Linked DNA regions of Callithrix jacchus. The protein of the gene in region 2 purifies or fractionates together with the protein of the main gene of each other region. This does not show direct contact. Links are inferred from orthologs where the notes say so. Each region holds a gene or a part of one and is shown on either strand. Other genes may lie near its edges.

Region 1 (5,810 bases), on a different chromosome or scaffold from region 2:
TTCAGATTTTCTTTTATGATGGTGAGTTATCTGTTCTAAAATTTGATCAGTAAATTTCTTTTGAAGCCAATCAAGCATCAACAATGGTTTTTCCTGCGAAATCTTTTTAACTAGTTCCTTTCCTCTGTTGAAATCTGTCATAAAATCTGTTTTGTGTCCTCTAAGTTATCTGCTTGTTTTCTTGGGATTCTGATCCAAATCAGTTCACCTGTATTAATTTACTTCTTCAAACTAAAGTACCATTTGCTTGAGAACTCAACGCATTTTAAAAAACACCGAATGTTCAGTGAAATTTTTAGTTCAGGTAACACAAGGTAGAAAACTATTTCTGTCTAGGAAAACTTGGGAGTTCTAGGATAAATTATTAGCAAATTGTATTTAGTAGAATTTTAGGATTAGCTGAAAATTGAAAAAAAAATTTAATACTGGAGAGCTATATAAGTCTGCTTCATGACTATATTAATCCCACATGCTAAAAACTGTATGAAATTAAATTCCCAATACAGGTATTTACAGAAAACAGCATCAAAACAAACTCACACATAAATCCTGCCTCTTCTCCTGACCCCAACCTAAACTTTGCAACCTTCACACATACCTACTCTCCTCCCCCCCATCTCAGCCTCACTTCCACTCTCAACTATCCCACAAATACTTTTTAAATGTATAGGAAAACGTAAAAGAACTGGAGTAACAGGATCTCCTCTTTTGCTGCCTCCTCAGTTACTGCCATTAAGCTTTTGGTCCAAGAGACTCTAACCCCCAATTTTACATGACTATTTTTATTTCATAGGTACTCACATTCACCAAACTGAACCAAAGAACAAGAACATTCTAAATGAAAAAGGAACAAAACTGGATAATTCTGCAGTTCTGTCCCTAGCCCCCTCCATAATCAGGCACTATGTGAAACACCTAAGTAAAATAAGTATAATTTTCAGACAAATGAGATATTTTACTTTGAGTTGCTGATACAGCGGAGGTTAATACTAAGAAAAATTAATTACCACAGTTTACACTTTTTATATCTGAATGTACATTTATAGTACCTGAACCAAGTTATTTTCAATACAATATTCACCGTATTAACAGAATTCAAAATAAGCTCCTTTCTAATTTTCCTCCATGTAGACTTTTGCTAAGTGCAAAAATTATTTTACCTAAAATCCACCTCTTGGGCTGATGTTATTTAGCCCATATTTTTACATAAGATGGTAAATGTTAGGAAAATTTAAAAAACAATTTAATGCAACTTTCCACCTTGTCTTCAAACTCAGTAAATTCCACAATTTTAAAAAACAACCTTTCGCGGTGCCTACTCACATTTTTACTAAAATCTCTACACAAAGCCATACATTCTGTTTTTCATTTTACTTCTCCAAGCTGCTGCCCTTCACCAAATAGACTCCACGAGCCTCCCAAGTGGTATCCACCAATACATGCGTTTCTCAAGGAGAAGTAATTAAAGAGTAATTAGTCCAATTGGTACGAAATCTTTTAAAAATTTACCTTAACTTTAACAAGCCCTTTTCTTGATGGAGATTTAACAGCATAAATCCTAATGAAACGGTTGTCCTTTACGTGGACTCTCCATCAGCCCCATCAGGTGAGTGGCATAGAGAGGCATTTTTCTGATAGTCTCAGTTCCCCAAACCCTAGTCATAAGCTTTTGCTCGGATGGTAAATTTCTTTCTCTCTCTCTCTCTCTCTCTCTCTCTCTCTCTCTCTCTCTCTCTCTCAGACACACACACACACACACACACACGCGGAAAAGAAGGAAGAGAGAAACATACCTGGTTATTTTCTAAACAGGTTTGATAGGTCTGGTTCACTTGTAAGAGCAGAGTGTTTACTTATAATCTTTTAAAACAGAAGTGGCAGCCAGGGCACTGGGTAAATAAAAACTTCACCGAGTTTTAAAACCCTGCATCTTAACTCACTTCCCTTTGGTTCAAGGGGACGGCACAGCAAACCCCACGGCAAATGAGATTATGCAACAGGTTTTTTTCCTCCACACCTTACTCATCACAGGCTGGTTAGAGGTGTGCTTTCTCCAATCTGAGACACACGACTTCAAAACGCCAAGAATCCTTGCAGTTGATGTTCCCTGAACTTCTTTAGGATGTTGCGGTGTCCATTCATTTTCAGATCCACTGTATTTCCTCTGGTTCACTACCGGTATTCTTTAGGAAACAGACCCAGCATCTGAAAATATTTCCCTCTGTGGTGTTTCATTACGCGAAAGTACACGTGATACACAGACCCTGGGCTTTTTTATTTCTCACGTTTTGCAGCTAGTGTAAATAAAGAAGTCACTAGGCGTCGGGCCCCCCAACGCCAAGACTCATCCCCTGTCGGAAAATTAAGGGCTTTTTTGGTTGGTTGATTACAGAAAGCAGCACCGTCACCACCCAGGTGGCCTCGCTGCTTACACCAAAGGCGAACTGGGGATAATGGGAACAGTCAGGCCGGGGCCCCACTTGGCAGGCGTGTTGTGTAACAGTCGCGCCTGGAAGTGAACAGCTTCGCCCGCGAAGGTGCCGCGTCCCGCGGCGGCCGCGCCTCTCGGAGGGGCCCGGTCCGAGCCCGCTCGCCGCGCAACAGCCGGGGGCGCACCCACTGCGACCCCGCGCCGGCCGCACGCCCCCTTCCCGCTCGGGCCCGCCGCGGGCCAGGCCTACACCCCAGCTTCAAACGCTCCTGCGGCCCCCGGCCGTGGTCGCCCCCTCGCCGCTCCCGAAAGGGTGGTCGGTACGCCGGGGAAGGCAGAGCCGGCGGGGCAAGAGCACGGCGCCCGGGGCCGGGAATCGGGACGCGCCGCGGAGCGTCCATGCGGCCGGGCGGGAGGGCGCCCCGGGCCCCGCACCCTCCCGCCTGCACACCCCGCGCGGCCCGCCGAGGCCACTTACTTTTGGGGCCGCCGACCTCCCAGTTCCCTCAGAGGGAAACGAAAGTTGTCACGGCGTCTCCCCTCGGGCCCCTCTCGCCTCCCGGGCTTGAGAGGCGCCGCCGCGGAGCCGAGAGGGCGGCTGCGCTCCAGCTCGCGTCCCGTCCCGTCGCTCTCCTCCTCGTCCTCTTTTCACTATATTATCTTCTCCTTCTCTGAGGGGCGGGTGGGGGCGGGAGGCTCAGGAAGAGAGGAGACGCTCGCAACTTTTCTTCACTCTTTCTCTTCCACAGTCCCCCCAGCCAGCCTTCAAAAAAAATGTCGAAAGGGATGAAGAACTTAGGGAGGTAAAGGTGGGGGGCCGCGTGGTGAAAGCGGGGGTTGGGGGGAGTGAGGGGTGGCAATAATCGTTTAAAAAACTGATTAAAGTCCCCCAAACAGTGATACATAGAAAGAGGGGGAAAGGCTGGGGGGGGTGGGGGGTTGGGGGAAAGAGAAAGAGCCGCTGGTCAGGAAACTTCAAGCGCGGATGAGGTCATTGGTTTAAAAATAAAGAGATGGCGTCACTTGAAACCAATCCCAGTGAATGAACTCAGCGGAGCCCCGGGGAAAGGAGGAGACAGGCGAGGGCAGGGCGGTGGGCGCCGGGCGGGGCCGCGCGCCCGCCTGCCCGCCCATCCCGCGGACGCCGGAGCCCCGAGCGCGACTCCGCGCCTCGTTCCGGCCGCTTGGGGAGGGGTCAGGTCATGTTCCCTTCCAGTGTCCGGCGACTCTGAGGCAGGTTCCGCGGGCGCCGCTGGGAGGAGCCGGAGCTGCCGGAGGAGGCGGCCCCGAGGCCTCTTCCCCCTCCTCTCCCTCCTCCTCCTCCTCCTCCTTCCGGGCCCGCGCCCCCGCCGCCCCCCGGGCCAGGGTGTCCGCCTCCAGCGCTGCGCTGCAGCAGGTATCGGAGGGTTTTCCCCGCACCCAGACGCAGACCCTTTCCCTCCTTCTTGAGCTGTTTCCAGCTGCCTCACCAACGTCAAAAAACGCAAACACTGATTTGAGAGAATTTCAGTCGCTCTCTTAAAAGTCTGAGGAATGCAAAAGACAAAGTTCTGCCGTTTCTCAGTAGAGAAGTTACAGGTATTTCAAGAAAAATCACACTGCCGTTGACAGGCTTTCAGCCATCTCTATGTTTGTGGTTGAAAACCCCCGCGTAAATATTCCTAAATTACTTTACTTTGCCTGTATTTGCAAAGAGGAGGATAAGGAGCCTAGATTCTCTTTGAAAATGTTTTCTACAGGAGGCAGCGCAGAAACGTCTTTAAATCAGACCAGGGGTTCACTGCCTTTTGAGAGGTACAAAACCCTTGTTGATTTGACTCCACATACCTCTTGCATTTTATTATTTGAATTCATTAAAATTGCTTTTTTTTTTTTTAGATGACATTATGCACTTTGGAAAACGAGAGACCTGAGGTGGTGACAAACGAGGACTTGGAATTACTGAATAGGACAATGGGAGCTTTATTTCAATGTTCTTTGAGCATTTAAGCATGAAGCTGCTTCTAGTGAGAAGTGCTCACGTGGATATCACATAACAAAGATGTGATTAATGACGGAAAAGCACCCTGCGAGTGGACTGCTCCATGAGCCAGAATTTATGTGTTGGAATAATCTAACTCCTAAAAGACTCCGTTTGCGATGTGCCTGATTGGGACACTGGCCCCTAAAGACACTGTTGTGGGATATCCATATGCACCCTGCCTAAAGCACTTTGTTTTCATTGGCAAAAGAACTGAGAAGCGGGTTTGGGTGGGTTAGAAAGATAATACACCCCTTTTGCTACTTTTCTGCCTTTAAATCCTGCAACTGAAGGGCATTCCTTATGACTGGTAATCATTGAAGGTTAGTGTTGCCGGGTAAGGCTCCGGCTTTTATAGGAGGGAGGAAAGTCCATTTGAAGATGGGAGGCATTGCCAGCACCTCTGGCGGTAGGTAAAGCCCGAAGGCCACAGTGCAGAAGCAACTCTGAGCCGGTGCCTCTGGCCTCCTGAAGACTTCTGCTAGGGAAAGCAAATCTCTCCCACTGCTTCCTGTCCTCTGGTGGCCAGGAGGTGTTACTGCAGCTTCCTTGGGATTATTTGTGCTCTACCAGGAAACCCCTAAAAATCTAACTGTAGACCTTTGTTGGAGGTGTTGGGATTTTTAGGAAGGAAGGAGAAGATAGTCCTTTTACTAGTGGTACAGAGCATGGATCTTGCCTGGAGAAAAGATTCATGAGAATTCATGATATCCCCTTTGCATGCCATAGTTCCAGTAACCTTGCTTTAACTGACATGGCTTGAAATCTTTCTCCCCTTTCATCCTCATTACAATTAAATTTGTGTAATGTATGCATGTGGTGCCATCATAGCTATCATGGAAGCCTCTCGGGGTATTTCATCTATTTCTGGAAAAAAGACATAGATTAAAGTTAATTAAAAGCCAAAGCACTGATTGAGTGATGTACAATATTGGTTAAAAGAGTCGGGGGAGAAAAGGAGCGATGCACCCTGCCTAAAGCACTTTTTTTTCATTGGCAAAAGAACTGAGAAACGGGTTTGGGTGGGATTATCGGGGAAGGCACCTTATGAAGAGTTTTGACCTTATCCTTGAAGGATAGTTAAGATTCAGTTTGCAGTGAAGAAGCCGGTGGAGGGACGATTCCAGAGGGCAAATGGCAATGAGCCAAGACATGGAGGTGGAATGAATAATGAGTAAGGTGTACTCAGGTGAGAGAAGAGCAAACCCTTCCAGTAGCAGTAGAGCGCAGTGGCTCACGTCTGTAATCCCAGCACTTTGAGAGTTTGAGACGGGCAGATCACCTGAGTTCCAGATTTGAGACCAGCCTGACCAGCATGGTGAAACCCTGTCTCTACTAAAAATACAAAATTAGCGGGTC
Region 2 (5,274 bases):
GCCACTCAACCAGAGAGGCTGAACAACTTGCTGAAAAATCACACGTCTGTTTATCCTTCCCTAAAGGCATCATGCCTCCTGGTTCCCCTTCTGGAGTAGCTCCACTCTGAGTTTGGTGCTCGTGTGCTTGTTTCCGTATCAGCACCGGTGTGAGTGAGCTTTAGCTGTGAGAGAAATCACTGCATAGTAGCAGGCTTCCTTCAGGCCATTAGTGAAATACATGTTTATGTCATGACCAGTGATCTTACCATCACTTTAAACATTGTTTTATAGAGAAATAATCCAATTTATAAGCAGACTTTTGTAACAGTCCATTTATGAGTTGGACATTGAGTTTGGGAGTTCTCCCATGAAGAAAATGTAAAACTTGTTCTAAGAAACAACAGGATATTCCATAGCTGCCAGCCCAGTGCCTTGTCCATCATGGGTCTCTAGGAAACAGCCTGTGCTGTTTCTAATGACATCTGGGCAGATGTCTGTGTTTTGAGGTCAGGTGATTATTAAGAGGAACATAGTAACTCTTTTTTGGTTAAGTTTATCGTAACTATTTTGATTCTAAAAGCTGATATCACATGACAGAAATCTTTATTAAACCATGTGTTGAATTACATTAAATTCATATCATAAATAGACTAGAAGTCTTCCAAGTGATTCTACCTTTTTTAATGCCTCATTGTTTTTTGAGGCATTACTGTTGACTTTGCATATGATTTAATTTTTAGCCACCACCTCAAATTTATGATGCCCAGCTGGAAGAAAGAGAACATGCAATTGAAGAATGGAAAGGTAAAGACAGAGCTTGTTTTGTTCTTCCTTGTGACATTTCTTCCAATCCTATAAAGCAGAAACTTTACATTTTGTAACATTTCTCTTCAGGAAGGGGGAAAAAAAAAAACACCCTGCAGTCCACTTAGCCTCTTTCTTCCAGTTTCCAGTAGAAAAAGAACTTGAAGAGAACAGAATTAAGAGAGGCACATGTATGAATTTCTTATCATATGTTTCAAGAGGAAAAAATATTTTTTTCATGGTTTTTCACATATTAGTTTGTAAATGGAGCTTGGTAATTGTATCACACATATATTGATAACATGTTGCAAATTGTCAGGTGAGACCAATTCATTGGCTGCATGTTACCTATAGAATTCCCAGTATATGCAGAAATGGGGAGCCAGGGCTGGGGGTCATGTGAACTTCTGCTTGTTCTTTTAAGCCATGTAGTTGTATATATGTTTTAAAATCCAGTTTGGGGGAAATTGCAGATTGAAAATGTACAGGTAGGTATTATTACCACTGTAATATTAACCAAACAACCCACAACAAACTATACATGTAATGAAGAGGTTGAACTAACAATTTTTCATTAAAAAGCAGGATCAGTAGTAACTGAGAACCACAGTTAGAGTGAGTCAACACTGATGATGGGTCCTGACCCAGGGCCGTCCTGGGATGTGGGAGTGCCAGTTACCTGTGTGCCCATGCTTAGCAAGACATACACACAGCATGCTCATTGGTCTCAGTAAATGCTTGCAATGTGCTGATGTTAGTTCATGAATGCTGAAATTTTAGGAATCCCTAATAACTTACTTAGTAGGTAATTAGTTTTTCTTACAAATGAAATTTGAGGAAAACTGAAGTTGAAACTAAGAAAAGACTTAGAACATGTGGATTCATTTTCAGCCAGTGTGGGGGGCTCCTAGCCCACATGTGGCTGCTGATTACCTCTGGAGAACCCTGAGTAACCAGAGACAAACATGGGTGTGAGAATGTCCAATCCCTTATAGTGTTCTGTGGGAGCCACTCCACTTCATAAAACCCTGTTATGGATCCAGAACCTCCCTCCATGTTTTGCTACCTTACTAGTCATTGAAAAAATGTAATGTAGTCGGAGCACAGTGGCTCACGCCTGTAATCCCAGCACTTTGGTAGGCCAATGCAGATAACTTGAGGCCAGGAATTCAAGACAAGCCTGGCCAACATGGCAAAACCCCATCTTTGCAAAAACTACAAAAATTAGCCAGGCATGATGGTGCACACCTGTAATCCCAGCTACTTGAATGACTGAAGCATGAGAATCATTTGAATCTAAGAGGTAGAGGTTGCAGTGAGCCAAGACCGTGCCACTTCACTCCAGCCTAGATGACTACATGAGACTCTGTCTCAAAAAAAAAAAAAAAAAAAAGAAAAGAAAACATACAATGTATCAAACATGAATATAATATAGGATGGGCCACAGCAACTCACGCCTGTAATCCCAGCACTTTGGGAGGCTGAGGCAGGCGGATCACGAGGTTAGGAGTTCAAGACCAGCCTGACCAACATGGTGAACCCCCGTCTCTACTAAAAATACAAAAATTAGCTGGGCATAGTGACACTTGCCTGTATTCCCAGCTACTCGGGAGGCTGAGGGAGGCTGAGGCAGGAGAATTACTTGAACCCGGGAGCTGGAAGTTACAGTGAGCTGAGATCATGCCACTGCACTCCAGCCTGGGCGACAGAGCAAGTCTCCATCTCAAAAAAAAAAAAAAAAAACTTTTTAGTGAATATTTTGGTCCAGGTAGACTATATTACTGAATTGACTCTGTCTTACAATTAAAAATAACATATCATGGTGCCCTTGGAGTGGTTCCAGTTGATTTGGAAGCAGAGTTTAGAGATGCAATGAAACTGTTTAGAAACTGAGTAAGCATTTTAACTTGTATTTTTATTAAAGAGCTAATTTACAAAGAAGTCATGGATTGGGAAGAAAGAAGCAAGAATGGTGTTGTAAAAGATCAGACTTCAGGTTAGTGATTGCTTTAATAGTTTGATTGTATGATATTTTTCTTTCTCAGTTCAACTTTTATAAATGGCAGCAACATGTGAAATGCCAGCCTGGCTAGCATCAGATTTAAAAACCACTTATGAATAGCTACCCTTTTTGGCTTGTTGTGGTGGTGGTGGTGGTGGTGGATGACGTTTTACTGATAATGTCAGGCACTGAACTTTGTTATAAACATTCCTCTTTCATCTTTGCAATAACTGCGGTCAGCTTCATTTACAGATGAAGAAATTGAAAGAAAAGCTTTTTCAGTGTTGATAACCCTCTGTGTACTGGTCCCACCCAAAATGCCAATCTAGATAAAATGGAATATGATTTTCTTTTGAGAAAATTGTTCATATCATTCTCCCATTTTTCTGCTTCATCTACTGATATACAGTTGTAGAATCCTAATGCCTGGGTAGTTGTATGATAATGAGAGACTCTGATATTAGTGGTATTCACTTACGTCTGCAGGGTTCTACCTGTTTACTAAATGAAACGCTCAAGTTATATTTATTGTCTCACTCCCACTCCCACTGGAAAGCATGCACACACAGGTGTGAAGATGTGCAGAGAGCACAGCTTACTTTGTATTCTTGAATGTTATTATATTCAGCATGATGTATGTGTCAAGCATCTAGAGATTACATAACTTCAGTAAGAACTTAAGTGCTTGTTAATTAAGCACAAATTTAAGACTGTAGACGTCGATCTCAGAGAGTCTGCATGTTGTATTTTTATTCAAAACAGACTAAAACATTGATAGTAGGAAGTAGGATAGTTTCATTTGCTTTAAAATATTAAAATATCAGTTTTCTGGAGTTATAAAACAATAAAAAATATGAAGCCACTAATTTTTTTCCTTTTTCAAGTATGCAGTCTGTTTATTGCAAAAGATTTCTTTGAATATTGGTGCTTTTTTTTCTGTAGATTTAGTGTTTATGTTATAAATTCAAGTATCTAGTGACACTTGAATCCTATTCAGGCTTAAGCCTTTTGTGATACTGCATTTTCAGATAAATATAGCTGTTTCCTTTTGATGTCTACTTGAAAGAAGCAGGCATTTTTTTAAGTAGGTAACATGATTATACATGAACACATGTTTAGCCACCGAGAAGAAAACAAGAATCTTGCAAGGAAAGACATAGAAATATGGGATTCTGGGCCCAAAGAAAGACTCAAGGAAAAGCTTATAAAGTCCAGCCAAGTAACCTCTTGTTTATACTCATAGTTAGGATTGGGAAACTGCAAAAGGACAGAGCCAAGAAATGGCCTGAAGTCTCGTTGCCTGGATTTGCAGCAATGTCGTGCCTCAGATTTTATTATATTTGGTTTTCTTAGCACAGATGCAGCAGTAAGTAGCAACGCCACTCCTTCTCAGTCTTCATCTATCAATGACATTTCATCCATGTCCACTGAGCAGACACTGGCCTCAGACACAGACAGCAGTCTCGATGCCTCGACGGGACCCCTTGAAGGTTGTCGATGATAAGTTAGAAATAGTAAACCTGTCATCACTGAAGGAACTCTCACCTCCATGGGCCTGAAATGCTTGGGAGTTGATGGAACCAAACAGAAAAACTCCATGTTCTGCATGTAAGAAACACAATGCCTTGCCCTACTCAGATCTAATAGGATTGCCTGCTTAGATTATAAAATGAGGCAGAATATGTCTGAAGAAAAAAAGTGCAAGCCACATTTCTAGAGATTTTGTTCAAGATCATTTCAGGTGAGCAGTTAGAATAGGTGAATTTGTTTAGAGTTGTATGGTAATAGTAGTGACAGTTTCTCATCATCTGTAACTGTTGAGATATATGTGCATGTTACCACAAATGCTTGCTTGGACTTGCCCATCTAGCACTTTGGAAATCAGTATTTAAATGCCAAATAATTTTCCAGGTAGTGCTGCTTCTGAAGTTATCTCTTAATCCTCTTAAGTAATTTGGTGTCTGTCCAGAAAAAGTTGATTTATGTTTATTAATCGTCCATCATGATGTTATTATATCTTACTCCCTTTTATGTTATGATTTATTCTCTTTTGTATTTCAGAAGACATATAATTAAATCTATTTAATAAATAAAATATATAGCTTTTCCTATATTTGTGATGTTTGGGCTGAGAATTATCACAGCTAAAACCAAGACACTTATGTGGACACCTTGTTTTCTCTAAATTGTCTTGTCTGGGATGGTTGTATATTCAGCTTTACTGCATGATAAAATTTTAAGTTTTGCTTAGTGCTGCTTGAAATCCTAGCTACCTTATCTCTTTTCCTCTTAGTCTTTTAGACTTAATATGAATTTAAAATGCTACCTAGAACTTCACCTTCTGTATTAGGCACATAATTCTCCATCTCAGTAATATGATGGCAGATAGATTTCTGCATTCATGGCCTAACGTTGAAGTAGAATTTTACAAAATGGTCACTAGAGATCACTGCAGTCATATCCTAAGTGCTTCCTTCGCCTTTACT
Region 3 (6,042 bases), on a different chromosome or scaffold from region 2:
AAGGGCCAGCACGGGGAAGAGATGGTTGCAGGGCAAATGCACTTTATAGAGATTTTGTATTGCTGGGAAGGTGTGTTTCTCCCACAGTTTGTGAATATTCACTTGTTTTATAAATGTCTGACCTGTCCGAGTAAGGTTGTGCTGTGGTCATTCTTGTGGGAGGTCTGGGAACTGGAGTTTTGATAAGGCTGAGCCCGAATGAAGCTATTGGCCAACCCGTCTTGGTTCTGTGGGAGTCAGGAGCCTCCTGTTTCTCCTTAGGAAAGGAAGCAACCATTGCAGACGAGGAAAGCTTGGTCAAAAGTTGGTCCAGAGCTTGGTCAAGAGTTGGGGGTCAATTGGCCAGAACAGTACCGAACACTCTGGGCTCAGAGTGAGGGTCCTGAGTGTCATCCTGCAGTGCCACCCAGCCTCGCAGCCTACTTAAAACTCCAGGCTGCGGGTCAGTTAGTGCAGGGCCTGCTCCAGGTCCTCAATCCATCCTTTAATTCAATGCAGCCACTTAAGCTTGCAGCCCGTGGTGAGGAGGGGATGCAGGCTCTCTGGCTGGGACTAGGTAGTTGAGATCTGCCCACAGCCAAGCCTAGGGCCTGGATTCTGGCTTTGTCTCCTGCCCACCTAGCCAAAGAATGGCCCCTCTCGGTGCAGCATGGCCTGCTTCCATGCTAGGGGTGCTAGCCTTGAACTGAGAGCTTTATGAGCTCATACCCCAACTTCCTGTAGGGAGGGGTTGAGGCAAGGCCCAAGAATATCACAGTCTGGCCTGTACAGAGTGAGAAAGGAAGAAAGGGGAGGAACCTGCCTTGGGGACTTCTCTCATTCTTGGCGCTGCTCTGAAGCTCCTGCTGGCCTCCTTCCTACCAAGACCTGGGCCTGTGTCCCTCTTGCCCTTCTCCTGGCTCTCTCTTACTATAGCTTTGGTTTGGCCTTTGGAGCTAAGATACCTTTACTCTTGAGCAAAAGATTCTGGAAGAGGGAGTTGTCATGTGCATACACTGCTGCTGAGGACAACCTCCTGAGGATGTTCCCTAGCTGAGACTAGTCCACATTTTAAGGAACAATTAGTAGCCATGATGGCAAGACTGCTTTCCTGGGAGGAAAGCCCAGGCACCATGGCAGCAGATGGTTAATGTGAGGGCCCAGGGAAGGGGTCTGAGCACAAAAAGCTAAGAATAGTGGCCACCCCTCTGGGCCCCAAGAGCAGGGAAAAGAGAAGCAGCCACGACCTTTGGCTTTGGGTATTGGGATATTGAGTCTGGAGCTGGGGGGTTGCCTTCTGCAAGGAAGGTGCCTTCTGCTCCTTGCTGGGTGCTACACTGAGGGAAAGGGGCCAGCATTACCCGTCAGCCTTCCAGATACGCAAATAGGACTCCACGACTTGTGGCACAGTATGCAGGTTTTCTGTCCTGTCCTGCAGTGTGGACAGGGTCTCTAGGGTTCTCTTGAGGGACCAGAGAAGCCAATAAGGTTTGCCCAGAGGCTCCATGACCCACCAAAGCTGGAGGCCTAGTCCATACTCTGTGAAATGACTCAATCAGGGAACACAGGGCCTTGAAGGCCTGGAAGCTCAGGCTTAACACCCTCTTGGGGGAGAGACAATGAGGAAGAAACCATGGCCAAAGCCTAGCAGGGATGGAGGTGCCAGAGGGAACAGAAAGAACCAAAATGATCCCAAGAAGTCAACAGTGGGAGCAGAGGGAAAAGCCCCAAGTCTTAGAATGTGAGTCTGTGGGTGCAGAGGAGGGGTGCTCTGCAGGAAATGCAGTTGAGGCGCTAAGAAGGAGAATGCTGGGAAGGTCCTGGGGTGAAGGAGGAGGTGCTGAGAGACTGAAAAGGCTGGAGGGCTCAATTCACCACAAGTAGCTGTTAGGGGCTGAAGAGAGGCTTGCATCAATCTTTAGAGAGGGCAGCCTCTAGGGAGAGTCTTTGGCAGGGTCCCCTCAAGGTAAAGGGACAGGACTGGGGTGAGGCCTGGATCCCGGTGCAGGAGGTGGAGTGTTTCCAGGTCTTAGTAGCAACACATTTGTGTTACGTTACATCCTCACAACCATGAGAGGGGCCGTTATTGTCCCATTTCACAGGTAAGAAGACCACACCTTAGTCCTCTTTAGTCACTAATGCAAGGCCCCAATGCCCAATCACTTGTGGAGCCAGAGAATTCACACCACCCAACTCCAAACCTGTACACTCTAAGAACCCACTGATATCCTCTCCTTTTTCTGCCTTCCTCCACGACCCTCCTTTTTCGTCTACCTTCTTGGTCTCTGCTGCGGGGGCCAAACCTGGACCTTGGGGTCCAGGGTCCTGCCATTAGTTATCTGATACCCGAGCGCTAAGCTCACCCGGAGGGACAAAGCCCACACCAGCCACTGGGGACCTTGAGGGGTAGAGGAGAGTCAGTGTCGGATTTAGGGCGGGGCTGAGCCAAGCCCAGGGCCGCGGGTCCGTGGCTTCAGCACCGCGGAGAGCGCCATCTCCGGGGGCGGGGCTGTCGGGACAGGGGCGGGGAAAGGGCGGGGCGCTCGAGACCCCGGCCGGGGCCCAGGGGCGCGCGCCGGGCGCTCTAGCCAGTCCCGCTAGCCGTGCGCGGCGCGGAGCCGCGCCTTGCCAGACACAGGTGCGCCCGCCCAGCCCGCCCAGCCCGAGCCCCGCGGCGGCGGCGGCGGCGGCGGCGGCGGCTGCCCCCTCGCCGCGCCTCCGCCTCCTTCGCCGCCGTCGCCTCCTCCGCGCCGCGCTCCGCCCGGATGGCCAGGGCTGTGCCCGAGAATGGCGGAGCGAGAAAGCGGCGGCCTGGGCGGGGGTGCTGCGTCCCCGCCCGCCGCCTCCCCGTTCCTGGGGCTGCACATCGCGTCTCCTCCCAATTTCAGGTGAGAGTCCCCGGCCGCCGCGCGCCTCGCCCTTCAGCGGGACTGATCCTCCTGGGCTGTCCCTGGCCGCCCCCTACCCCAGAACCTCGGGAACCCGGGAACGAGAGGACGGCGTGGGGATGGGGTATCTTCCCGGGACAGAGTCCCCCAGAAGCCCCGCCAGCCTCATGCTCGGACTGGTAGTCGCTGCAGGTTCACGGGGCCGCTCCCTCCGCCATTCCTGGTCCTAGGCCGGGAGGTCTGCGCTGGAATTGGAGGAGGGGGCTCGGAGGCTGCCTTCTTTCCCACCTCCGGGCTGGGCTGCAGCAGGGTCTGGGATCCGGGTTGTGATCCCTGAGCGGGCAGGCGGGCTGCATCTTAGCCTTTGCCCAGTCGGAAGATTTCTGAATAGGGCTGGGAACAGCCTGGGCGGGGCGGGGAGGGGCGGGGGGGGGGGGTCGCGGGTCGCAGTTTCCTGGGGGCAACGTTGTTGTTGGTGCTGGGAGGACGGCGTCTTGGGCCCCTGCCTGCCCAGATGGGCCTACCTGTCATGTCCGCCATGGCCAGGCCCCTCTCTGGATTGAGCAGCACCGACCTGGGCAGGTGTGTCTCTCAGGGCAGGCGCTGAAGGCTCAGCCTCAACCTGGGGAATCCTAGGCCCGGCTGTGGGAAGGGAAGTCGGCCAGGGAGTAGCCAGGGCCAGCGGGGGTGTCAGGGGTCCCTGCTGGAGTAAATACCCAGAACCCTGACCTAAGCTCCCATTCCACCCCTCCCACCGCCCCCCACCAGCCTGGTGTTAGGTCTGATGTGTTTCAGAGAAGTGAAGGGTGACTGTGTGGAGGAGGAATAGATATACCTCCCCCATAATTCTGACCCCTAGTTGGTGGGGAGGAAGAGGCAGATGTCACTGCTCCCCACCTAGAGAGGGAGGCTTAGACATACCCCATTGTTTCCCCATCTCAAGAGCTGGCGCCTTCCCCTCTCCTGGGGCCCCACCCCAGCCAGGCTCCAGCTGGGCTGTGGCGCCAGCCCCTCCTGGGAGCAAGGGGTCACTGGCTCCCAGGTCCTCAGGTGGACAGAGACCCCTGGGGATCTCTAATGGCATCATCAAACCCAGAAACCTCCCCCAAGACCCTGAGCTGAGCCGGGAGGACCAGAGGGGGCCAGATGGAGGAGACCAGGCCTGAAGGCTCCAGGGCTGCAGCTCTCTGATAATGCCTTCGACTCACAGGCTGAGGTCTGAGACTCCACCTGGCGTGGCGCACAAGGCCTCCATGCAAACACTGCCTCCCCACCTGGAGGCCTCTCTGCAGTGGAAGCACATAGTGCTTATAAGGACCTGGGTTCAAATCCTAGCTCCACTATCCAACTGCATGACCCAGGCAGGGTTTTGTCCACTGAGTGCCATCTGTTAAGTGGGCCGATTAATATTGATTCCTGCCTGGAAAGGAGAAAAAGCAGAGCAGGTCAGTGTTCAGCAAGGGCCAGCCCGGACACTAGCAGACTGCTACAGCTCGCTGCTATCCAGAGTGTCCTCCCAAGGCCACTCTCTTGATCCTCATAACCACCCGAGAGAAGGTAATGGTCCTCCCATTTTATAGACAAGGTGATTGAGATGAACAAAGGCAGAGTGGCTTGCTAGGGACTCCAAAATAGTAAGAGGCTGAGGCCACAGTGGGACCCAGGTCTGTGCATGTTCAGTCCACTCTGCCTCCCCGCCCTGCCTCCGGCCTAGAGGGCAGCTTTTCCTCCCCGACCTGCTTCCCCAGGTGTCATGAATGCTTTAGTGAGAGGAGCTGAGGAAACGGATACCAGCTAGTGAGTGTGTGGCCAGCTCTCGCCACATGGGACAAGGGTGGCAGTAGGCCAGGAGGTTGAAGCGTGGGTCGGCCCTCCAGGACATCGTGGCCTGGCTGCAGAGACAAGGCCAGCATGTGGGAATAATACGGGTCAGTGTCTCAGGCCCTGCTGACCTGCCCTGCTGTTCCTGCAGCCCCCACTGCCCTTTCTCCTGGCCCGCCTCTCACTATGCTTGACCCAGCTCCACTTAACCCTGGGTGGGTGGGTAGTGCTTTCCTGTGGCTCTTTGGTGGTGTCATGGATCCAACTGGCCTGGGCTTGAATCCTGACTGGGCCTTCTTAGCTGTGTGCCTTTACACTGGACACTTAAGCTCTCTGAGCCTCCAAGATGCCAGCGCTGGCCCCTGCTCAGGATGGTCCTGTGAATCAGATGAGATAACACGTGTTGAGTGTTTCAAGGGCTGAGGAGAGCCACAGGTAGGCAGGGCTGTGTGTGTGTGTGTGTTTATGTGTGTGTGTGCAACTTGACCCCCAGTGCCACTGTCAGCTCCCAGAAGACACAGGGGATCTGTACCCAAACTTTGGTATCTCCATTGCTCAGCACACGATAGGTACTCAACGGTGGTAAGCGCTGACATTTGGAAGGCACTCAGTTCGCCCAGGCACCATTCTAAGAGTTTCCTGTGTGCAAGAGTATTTACTCTTCACAATAACGATATCAACAGAGCATTGTTATTATCCACACTTGCATGAGGAAACTGAGGCAGAGGGAGGTTACGTAAGTGGCAGAGCTGGTAAGTGGCAGGCAGTCTGATGTCAGAGCCACCCCAAAAAGGAAGAGCCCTGGAGTACTGGAGGTGCTGGTGTGGAGGGGTGAGCATGTGGACCTGAAGGGGCAGGGGGAGCATTAGTTTGTTGGTAGTTGGTTGAAATAAATACGTGTTGATTTTTGTTCTGATTATAGAAATGCTACACCTGGTTATAGTGGTTAGTAACCTTTGGGTATGATATGGGGCGAGGGATTTTCACTTCTTATTTTACATACTTTTATATTACAGGTTGAGTATGCCTTATCTGACATGCTTTGGAGCAGAAGTGTTTCAGGTTTCTAATTCTCTTGGATTTTGGAATATTTGCATATGCATAATGAGATAGCTTGGGGGCAGAACCCAAGTCTAAGCATAAAATTGATTTTTTCTTGTATGCCTTATACACACAGCCTAAAGGTAATTTTATACAATAGTTTAAATCATGTTGTACATGAGACAAAGTCTTGACTGCAGCCTGTCACATGGGGTCAGGTGTGGCATTTTCCACCTGCGCTGTTATGTTGCTGCTCACACATTTAGGATTTTGGAGCAATGTTTTCAGATTAGAGCTGCTCACCTGTATTTAA
Region 4 (5,967 bases), on a different chromosome or scaffold from region 2:
ATGTAAGAGTGTATGTGAGTATCTGTGTATGTGTATACGTGTGTATCTGTATGTGTGTATCTGTGTATGTGTGTGTGTATGAGTGCATGAGTGTGTATGTATGTGTGTAAGTGTATGAGTGTGTATATGTAAGAGTGTATATGAGTATCTGTGTGTATGTGTATGAGTGTGTATCTGTATGTGTGTGTGGGTATCTGTGTATGTGTATGAGTGTGTATGTGTAAGAGTGTATATGAGTGTGTGTATGTGTATGAGTGTGTATCTGTGTGTGTGTATCTGTGTAAGTGTATGAGTGTGTATGTGTAAGAGTGTATATGAGTATCTGTATGTGTATACGTGTGTATCTGTGTATGTGTAGAGTGTGTATCTGTGTGTATCTGTGTATGAGTGTGTATCTGTATGTGTGTATGTGTATCTGTGTATGAGTGTGTATCTGCGTATGTGTATGAGTATGTATCTGTATATGTGTATATGAGTGTGTCTCTGTGTGTATGTATGAGTGTGTATCTGTGTATGAGTGTGTATCTGTATGTGTGTATGTGTATCTGTGTATGAGTGTGTATCTGCGTATGTGTATCTGTGTATGTGTGTGTATCTGTGTATGAGTGTGTATCTGTATGTGTATCTGTGTATGTGTGTATGAGTGTGTATCTGCGTATGTGTATGAGTGTGTATCTGTATATGTGTATGAGTGTGTCTCTGTGTGTGAGTATGTATGAGTGTGTATCTAGATGTGTATATGAGTGTGTCTCTGTGTGTGTGTATGTGTATCTGTATATGTGTATGAGTGTGTCTCTGTGTGTATGTATGTGTATCTAGATGTGTATGAGTGTGTCTCTGTGTGTGAGTATGTATGAGTGTGTATCTGTATATGTGTATATGAGTGTGTCTCTGTGTGTATGTATGAGTGTGTATCTGTATATGTGTATATGAGTGTGTCTCTGTGTGTGTATGTGTATCTAGATGTGTATATGAGTGTGTCTGTGTGTGAGTATGTATGAGTGTGTATCTAGATGTGTATATGAGTGTGCGGTGGGGTAGCTTCCCTGCCTCCAGAGCTTGAAGCTGGCTGCCCAGGCTGCTTTCGGGCCTCAGGGATCCCTGGGCTCTCTGCTGGGACCCAGGCAGCAGCCTTGATGCCGGACAGCCCGCAGTCAGCTGGGCTTTCAGGGTGGGGAGACTTCCTCACCACCCCATGGCTCCAGCTGAATTTCCAGAGGGTGGGGCCTCTGCCTCGGCTTCTGTCAGGCACTCTGGGAAGGGGAGCAGGGTCCCACACCTGCAGGCCTCACCCCACACCTCCGGAGCGGAGCTGTACTTTGGGGTTTCCTTCTGTGTTGAGGATAAACTCACATTGGTGGATCCTGAAGCGTGGGGGTCCCAGGGAGAGGATGGCAGGGCCTCGAGAACCACAGATATATGGAGGTTTCCCCTGTGCACAGCAGACGCTGGCCTCTCTGACGCCCCAGCCCCAGCGCCTGCTGACAGACCAAGTGCCTTGGGGAGGCGTGGGTCCCAGACTCACCTGTGAGGATGGCCACACTGTCGAAACAGCCATCCAGCTTGCTCAGCAGGATGGAGAGGAAGCTGTCTGCTGCCAGCACGCTGGCGTCCCGCGTGCTCTGGTCATAAACCACCACGTCCTGCGGCTCTGATGCCTCCACCTGGGGGCCATGGGGCAGAGGTCAGCATGCCACCCCCACCTATTGATGCCCGGCCCTGTCCCAGCCACACTGGCCCAAGGGAACAGTGAGGTCGTCGGACGATGGGAGGTGAAAGCTGTCACCCTGCTGCCTGGGGGGAGAGCCGGTGCAGTGACACACCTCACACACTGTCCTCCACCTGCCAGGTGCCAGGTGCATACACCCACGCCACACAGCAGCCATGGGGGCGGGGGGGGGGGGCGGCGGGCTCCTGCCTGCACATGGGAAAAGGGGACAAATGCTCTGGCCAGGCCTGTGTCGAGGAGACACAGGTGAGTGCGATGGGAACTCAGGATAGGAACTGGCTGGCTCCTGGGGTGGTGCAGGGAAAGGGAGGCTCGGCCCATTTCAGGGATTCTAGAGGCAGTGCCTTCAGGTGTGGGCTCTCAGTGGGGCTAACTCTGGAGCCAGCAATTCTGCTCTCCACCCTCTTCCCTCCTCAACCCCCGTCGGAGAAACAGAGGACTTCGGCAGGACCGAAGGCCCCTGCACCAGTTCCGGAGGCAGCAGCTAGAAGCTGGGCTCCTCCCGTCCTCCTCCCCTGCCCCAAGGGCCAGCCCAGATGTTGAGCGGCTTTTGCTCACACTGCACCGGTGCCCCCGCCCAGCCCGGCGAGCACACTCAGCCCTTAAGCCAGCTGAGCCGCCAACCCCAGGCTGGGTGACGTCACCGGCAGCCAATGGGATTGCACCCTGCCGGGAGTCCTCACTGGGGGTCATTAATCACTGGATTCCCCTTGTTGGAAGCCAAAGGGAGCCAATTCTGGCCTTGGAGCAGGCAGATTCCTGGCCAGTGGCCATCTCACTTGCGTCCTCCAATGCCCCAGCTCCGAACAGGGCATATCAGTGACCCAGACCCCTCTCAAAGCCTCCACGATTGATAGCTTGTCACCCTCGTCCCCCTGTGAGGCAGTCGGAGGAGGAGCTACCTTCACAAGTCAACAGCCCGGCTGGTCCCACCCCAGCTGCACCTGATAGTCCTGAGGCGGAACGAGCTGTCCTTCCCCAGAAGGACGTTCCTGGGGGGTCACAGAGAGAATTCTGGGTCCCTGAATACTCGGGGTTAGGGGGAGCTGTGGGATGGGGACATGCTGCTCACGTGTGCCTTTTGACCGCCCCTCCTGTCCTCACAGCAGTCGGAGTGGATGACACAGCTGTGTCTGGGCTGCTCCCACCCCTGTGTTCACACCTGGCTATCCCGTTCACTGCTCCTCTCTATGAGCCTGGGCCAGTCCCAGCCACATAGTCCCTACCGTGTGGGGAGGGCCAGCACCTCCATGCAGGTGCTGAGTGAGGAGGACTTTGGGGAAGGGTGGGGAGGGCCCTGAGCAGGGACAGCAGGCATCGGCAAAATGCAAGTGCCAGAGGGGACTGCCCCACACGCTCCTGGCTGTGACCCCAAGGAGCCCAGATTGGGCTGGAGGGCAGAGGAGGGAGGCTGCCCAAGCTGAGGACTCCTTGGCCGTGGGCTCTGGAGGTGGCACAGGCCAGCGGGCGGAGCGCTGGGTACCTGGCTGCGTGTGGCCGGCTGGATGAGCTCTGCGATGGTCACCTTGCCCTGCTGCAGCCGCCGCTTCACCAGCTTGGAGCAGCAGATGTTGACGGAGCTCAGCACGTGCCAGCTGTTGTATTCCACGAAGGAACGGCTGTCGATGACCAGTGGTCCCCCAGGCCCGCCCCGCAGCAGGCTGGCCAGCTTCTTGGCATCCATCACCTTCCTTGGGAGCCGGTCCCCGGCCATGGTGGGGCAGTGGGTGGTGGGGAGGGTGACCCCTGAAGTGAGGAGGGGCTGCTCCGATGGCCCAGGGTGTGGCCTCCCGCTGGGAGTGACCTAGCACATGGTGCCGGACCTGCAGGGACAGGGGGATGGTCAGCCGCATTGCAGGCCCCTTCGTGGCACCCAGAAGCTCCCAGGACCGGCCAGAGCTGGGACCCCAGCCCGCCAGGACATCTGAGCCCAAAATGTGCCTGCGGAGACCCTCCTCCCTCCAGAGAGACCCTGTCCAGGTCACAAGGCCACCTCTCAGCAGGACGCAGCAAGGCAGTGGGGGGCAAATGAGCCCACAGCATTGGACTGGGCCGGCCGGCAGGACAAGGCCAGGGGTCCTTCCTTTGGGCCCTGGAGTTCATGGACACTTATGCATTCCAGAACATTCCATCTCATCCCTGGGATGCAGGCGTCTCCCTGCTCTGACCTCTGCATCTTCCCCACCACAGGACCCCCAGCAAGTCAGGGGTCCAGACGGCACCTCACCCTCCCTCTTGGCGAAGCCCTCTGCCCTCCTCCAGGCTCGCTGTCCCCACACCTGTCCCTCCCTCTGTTGGCACAGCCCTGGGGAGTCCAATCCCCAGAGCCTGGACTGCAGGGTGGCGCTGTAAGCCGATAATCCAGCCCCTGGCGGATGGCGGCCTGGGGGCTGTCTCTGCCCGAGAGTGGGCTCCCAGGGCAGCCGGATGGCAGGCAGGGTGTGGGAGAGGCTCGGGCACAGAGGCACGGCTCCTTTGCCACGGCTGCCCTCCTGGCCTGCAGGCTGAGGCTTAGTGCGTGCCATGTGCCTGCTGGGGGTGAGTGCCTGGCTCCTGCAGGGGTGTGTCATACCCACAGAGTGCCCCTCCTTCAGCAGAGCCTGGGGTCTGGGGGGCCCCTTCAGGGGCTGCTGGAGCCCAGGATGGGGGGCAGCCCCAGTATCAGAGACCCGAAGGTGCCAGGCCCTTGGCATGGCCTGCAAAGCCCTCAGACTGAAGGGCGGGCAGGCGGAGGAGGCGTGTCTGGGGATGGGGTCTCTAGAAGCCCCTCCTGCAGGCTTGGTGACAAGTCTCTGTCACTGCCCCACTTCGGGGTCCATCTCCCGGTCACCTGCCAGGACTACCCTTCCTCTGGGTCCACTTTAGACTCACAGTCCCCAGGAGGCACGTGGATTAAGGATGATGAGTTTGCTTTAACTATGGGGAAACTGAGGCTTAGGACAGGGGTGGAACCCACTCTAACCTACACAGATGGGCACTGGGTGTCTCTGCAAGGCCACCAGTGGGCAGAGGGGGCTCCGGTGGGGAGAGGGGGCTCTGGTGGGCAGAGGGCTCTCAGCAAGCCAGGCACCCAACCACAGCCACAGGGGGCACTGGGGGAGGTGCCCTGAGGATACCCATCACTGCAAATGGGCTGGGGACAGTGGCCACCACCGTTTCTGTACTCTCTGGGTCAGTTCCCAGGCTGGTGGGCCGGGGGCTGACAGGAAAGTTCACGGAGCAGCAGGTGCAAGGCCGGTGTGTACCGTGTCCCTGGTCCAACTCGAATCCAGCCTGAGGGGCAGGTCCCAGCCCCTCCCTGCCCAGGAGCCCCAGCCTCGAACTCACTCTCCTCCAGACACTTCACACTCGGCTCCCGTCAGGCCCCTCCCACCTTTCCCAGGCCCAGGCATCTGTGTGTTCCCACCACCCCTGCTGCCACCAGAGCCCAGGGAAACACCTGCCTCAGCTGACCCCACGGCTGACACCTGGGCCTGTGGTGGCACCTGGTCAGCGGGGCCTCGGGAACCCACTCCGACGACGCTCCCCTCCTGTGCTCCAGCCTCCACCACAGGGCACCCTCCCCGGGCCACACCTGCGGCCTCTTCAGAGTTCTGCCCAAACCTTGAGCAGGTGGTAACACGCAAGGGCCCAGATGTGTAGTCCTGGGGAGACAGTGGCTCCAGGTGCCCTGTATGACACCCAAGGGCCCAGCTCAGAGGTCTAGGACCCCGAGATGGCCGTGGGGGCAGAGACACTTGGGGGTCCTTCTAGGAGCATCCCTGGCCTCAATGTCCTCATCCGTTAAGTGAGGGTGGATTCTCTCTCACTGAAAACAACAGAAGTGAATACCCCTCCCCCCACCGCCGATCTCCCCCCCACCCCACCCCCACCATGCAGGGAGGAGAGGCCCTTGCCCTCCCTGCAGCCAGGGCCTGGCCATCATATAGCCTTGAGTCTTGACACCGCCAGGAGGTAGAGAGGGGCCCCAACACCACAGACAGCCAGGCCTGAGCCCCAGAGGGAGTGGAGGGAGGAGGCAAGTCCGGTGGGCAGGGGCTGGAGGTGCGGGATGGGTCTGGCCTTTACCTGGGCCCGCCCTGCCTCCCAAGTAACTGCGAGCTGGAGCTGGGCCTATCACTGGCAACGGTATTGTTATTTGCAGCCGAAGGGGACTCATTAGCAAGTTAGCACCTCCATCGTCGCCATGGCAACCGCTGCTCCTGCAGCAGCCGCCACCGTGGAGCAGGCTCCTCTGC

What was found.
Region 1: the proteins of MAPK9 (region 2) and DUSP16 purify together in Homo sapiens (affinity purification with mass spectrometry; 6 studies listed by BioGRID and IntAct, with this or other methods). This does not show direct contact. The link is inferred for Callithrix jacchus from reciprocal best matches to the Homo sapiens genes MAPK9 and DUSP16.
Region 3: the proteins of MAPK9 (region 2) and MAPK8IP1 purify together in Homo sapiens (affinity purification with western blotting; 4 studies listed by BioGRID and IntAct, counting the BioPlex papers as one, with this or other methods). This does not show direct contact. The link is inferred for Callithrix jacchus from reciprocal best matches to the Homo sapiens genes MAPK9 and MAPK8IP1.
Region 4: the proteins of MAPK9 (region 2) and DUSP8 purify together in Homo sapiens (affinity purification with mass spectrometry; 4 studies listed by BioGRID and IntAct, with this or other methods). This does not show direct contact. The link is inferred for Callithrix jacchus from reciprocal best matches to the Homo sapiens genes MAPK9 and DUSP8.

What each region holds. Positions count from the first base shown.
Region 1 is NC_133510.1:10,741,520-10,747,329, reverse strand, and holds the start of DUSP16 (dual specificity protein phosphatase 16), read right to left. Parts: upstream 3,474-5,810; 5' UTR 2,910-3,473; intron 2,206-2,909; 5' UTR 1,794-2,205; intron 1-1,793. Other genes in the region: uncharacterized protein LOC144577833, read left to right, coding at 3,474-3,827, 4,310-4,420. UniProt on the Homo sapiens protein: Dual specificity protein phosphatase involved in the inactivation of MAP kinases. Dephosphorylates MAPK10 bound to ARRB2.
Region 2 is NC_133503.1:71,381,567-71,386,840, forward strand, and holds part of MAPK9 (mitogen-activated protein kinase 9), read left to right. Parts: intron 1-722; coding exon 723-786; intron 787-2,710; coding exon 2,711-2,782; intron 2,783-4,141; coding exon of another isoform or gene 4,142-4,146; coding exon 4,147-4,289; 3' UTR 4,290-5,274. UniProt on the Homo sapiens protein: Serine/threonine-protein kinase involved in various processes such as cell proliferation, differentiation, migration, transformation and programmed cell death.
Region 3 is NC_133511.1:110,907,578-110,913,619, forward strand, and holds the start of MAPK8IP1 (C-Jun-amino-terminal kinase-interacting protein 1), read left to right. Parts: upstream 1-2,569; 5' UTR 2,570-2,766; coding exon 2,767-2,867; intron 2,868-6,042. UniProt on the Homo sapiens protein: The JNK-interacting protein (JIP) group of scaffold proteins selectively mediates JNK signaling by aggregating specific components of the MAPK cascade to form a functional JNK signaling module. Required for JNK activation in response to excitotoxic stress.
Region 4 is NC_133511.1:130,332,232-130,338,198, reverse strand, and holds the start of DUSP8 (dual specificity protein phosphatase 8), read right to left. Parts: upstream 3,474-5,967; 5' UTR 3,444-3,473; coding exon 3,213-3,443; intron 1,665-3,212; coding exon 1,526-1,664; intron 1-1,525. UniProt on the Homo sapiens protein: Has phosphatase activity with synthetic phosphatase substrates and negatively regulates mitogen-activated protein kinase activity, presumably by catalysing their dephosphorylation.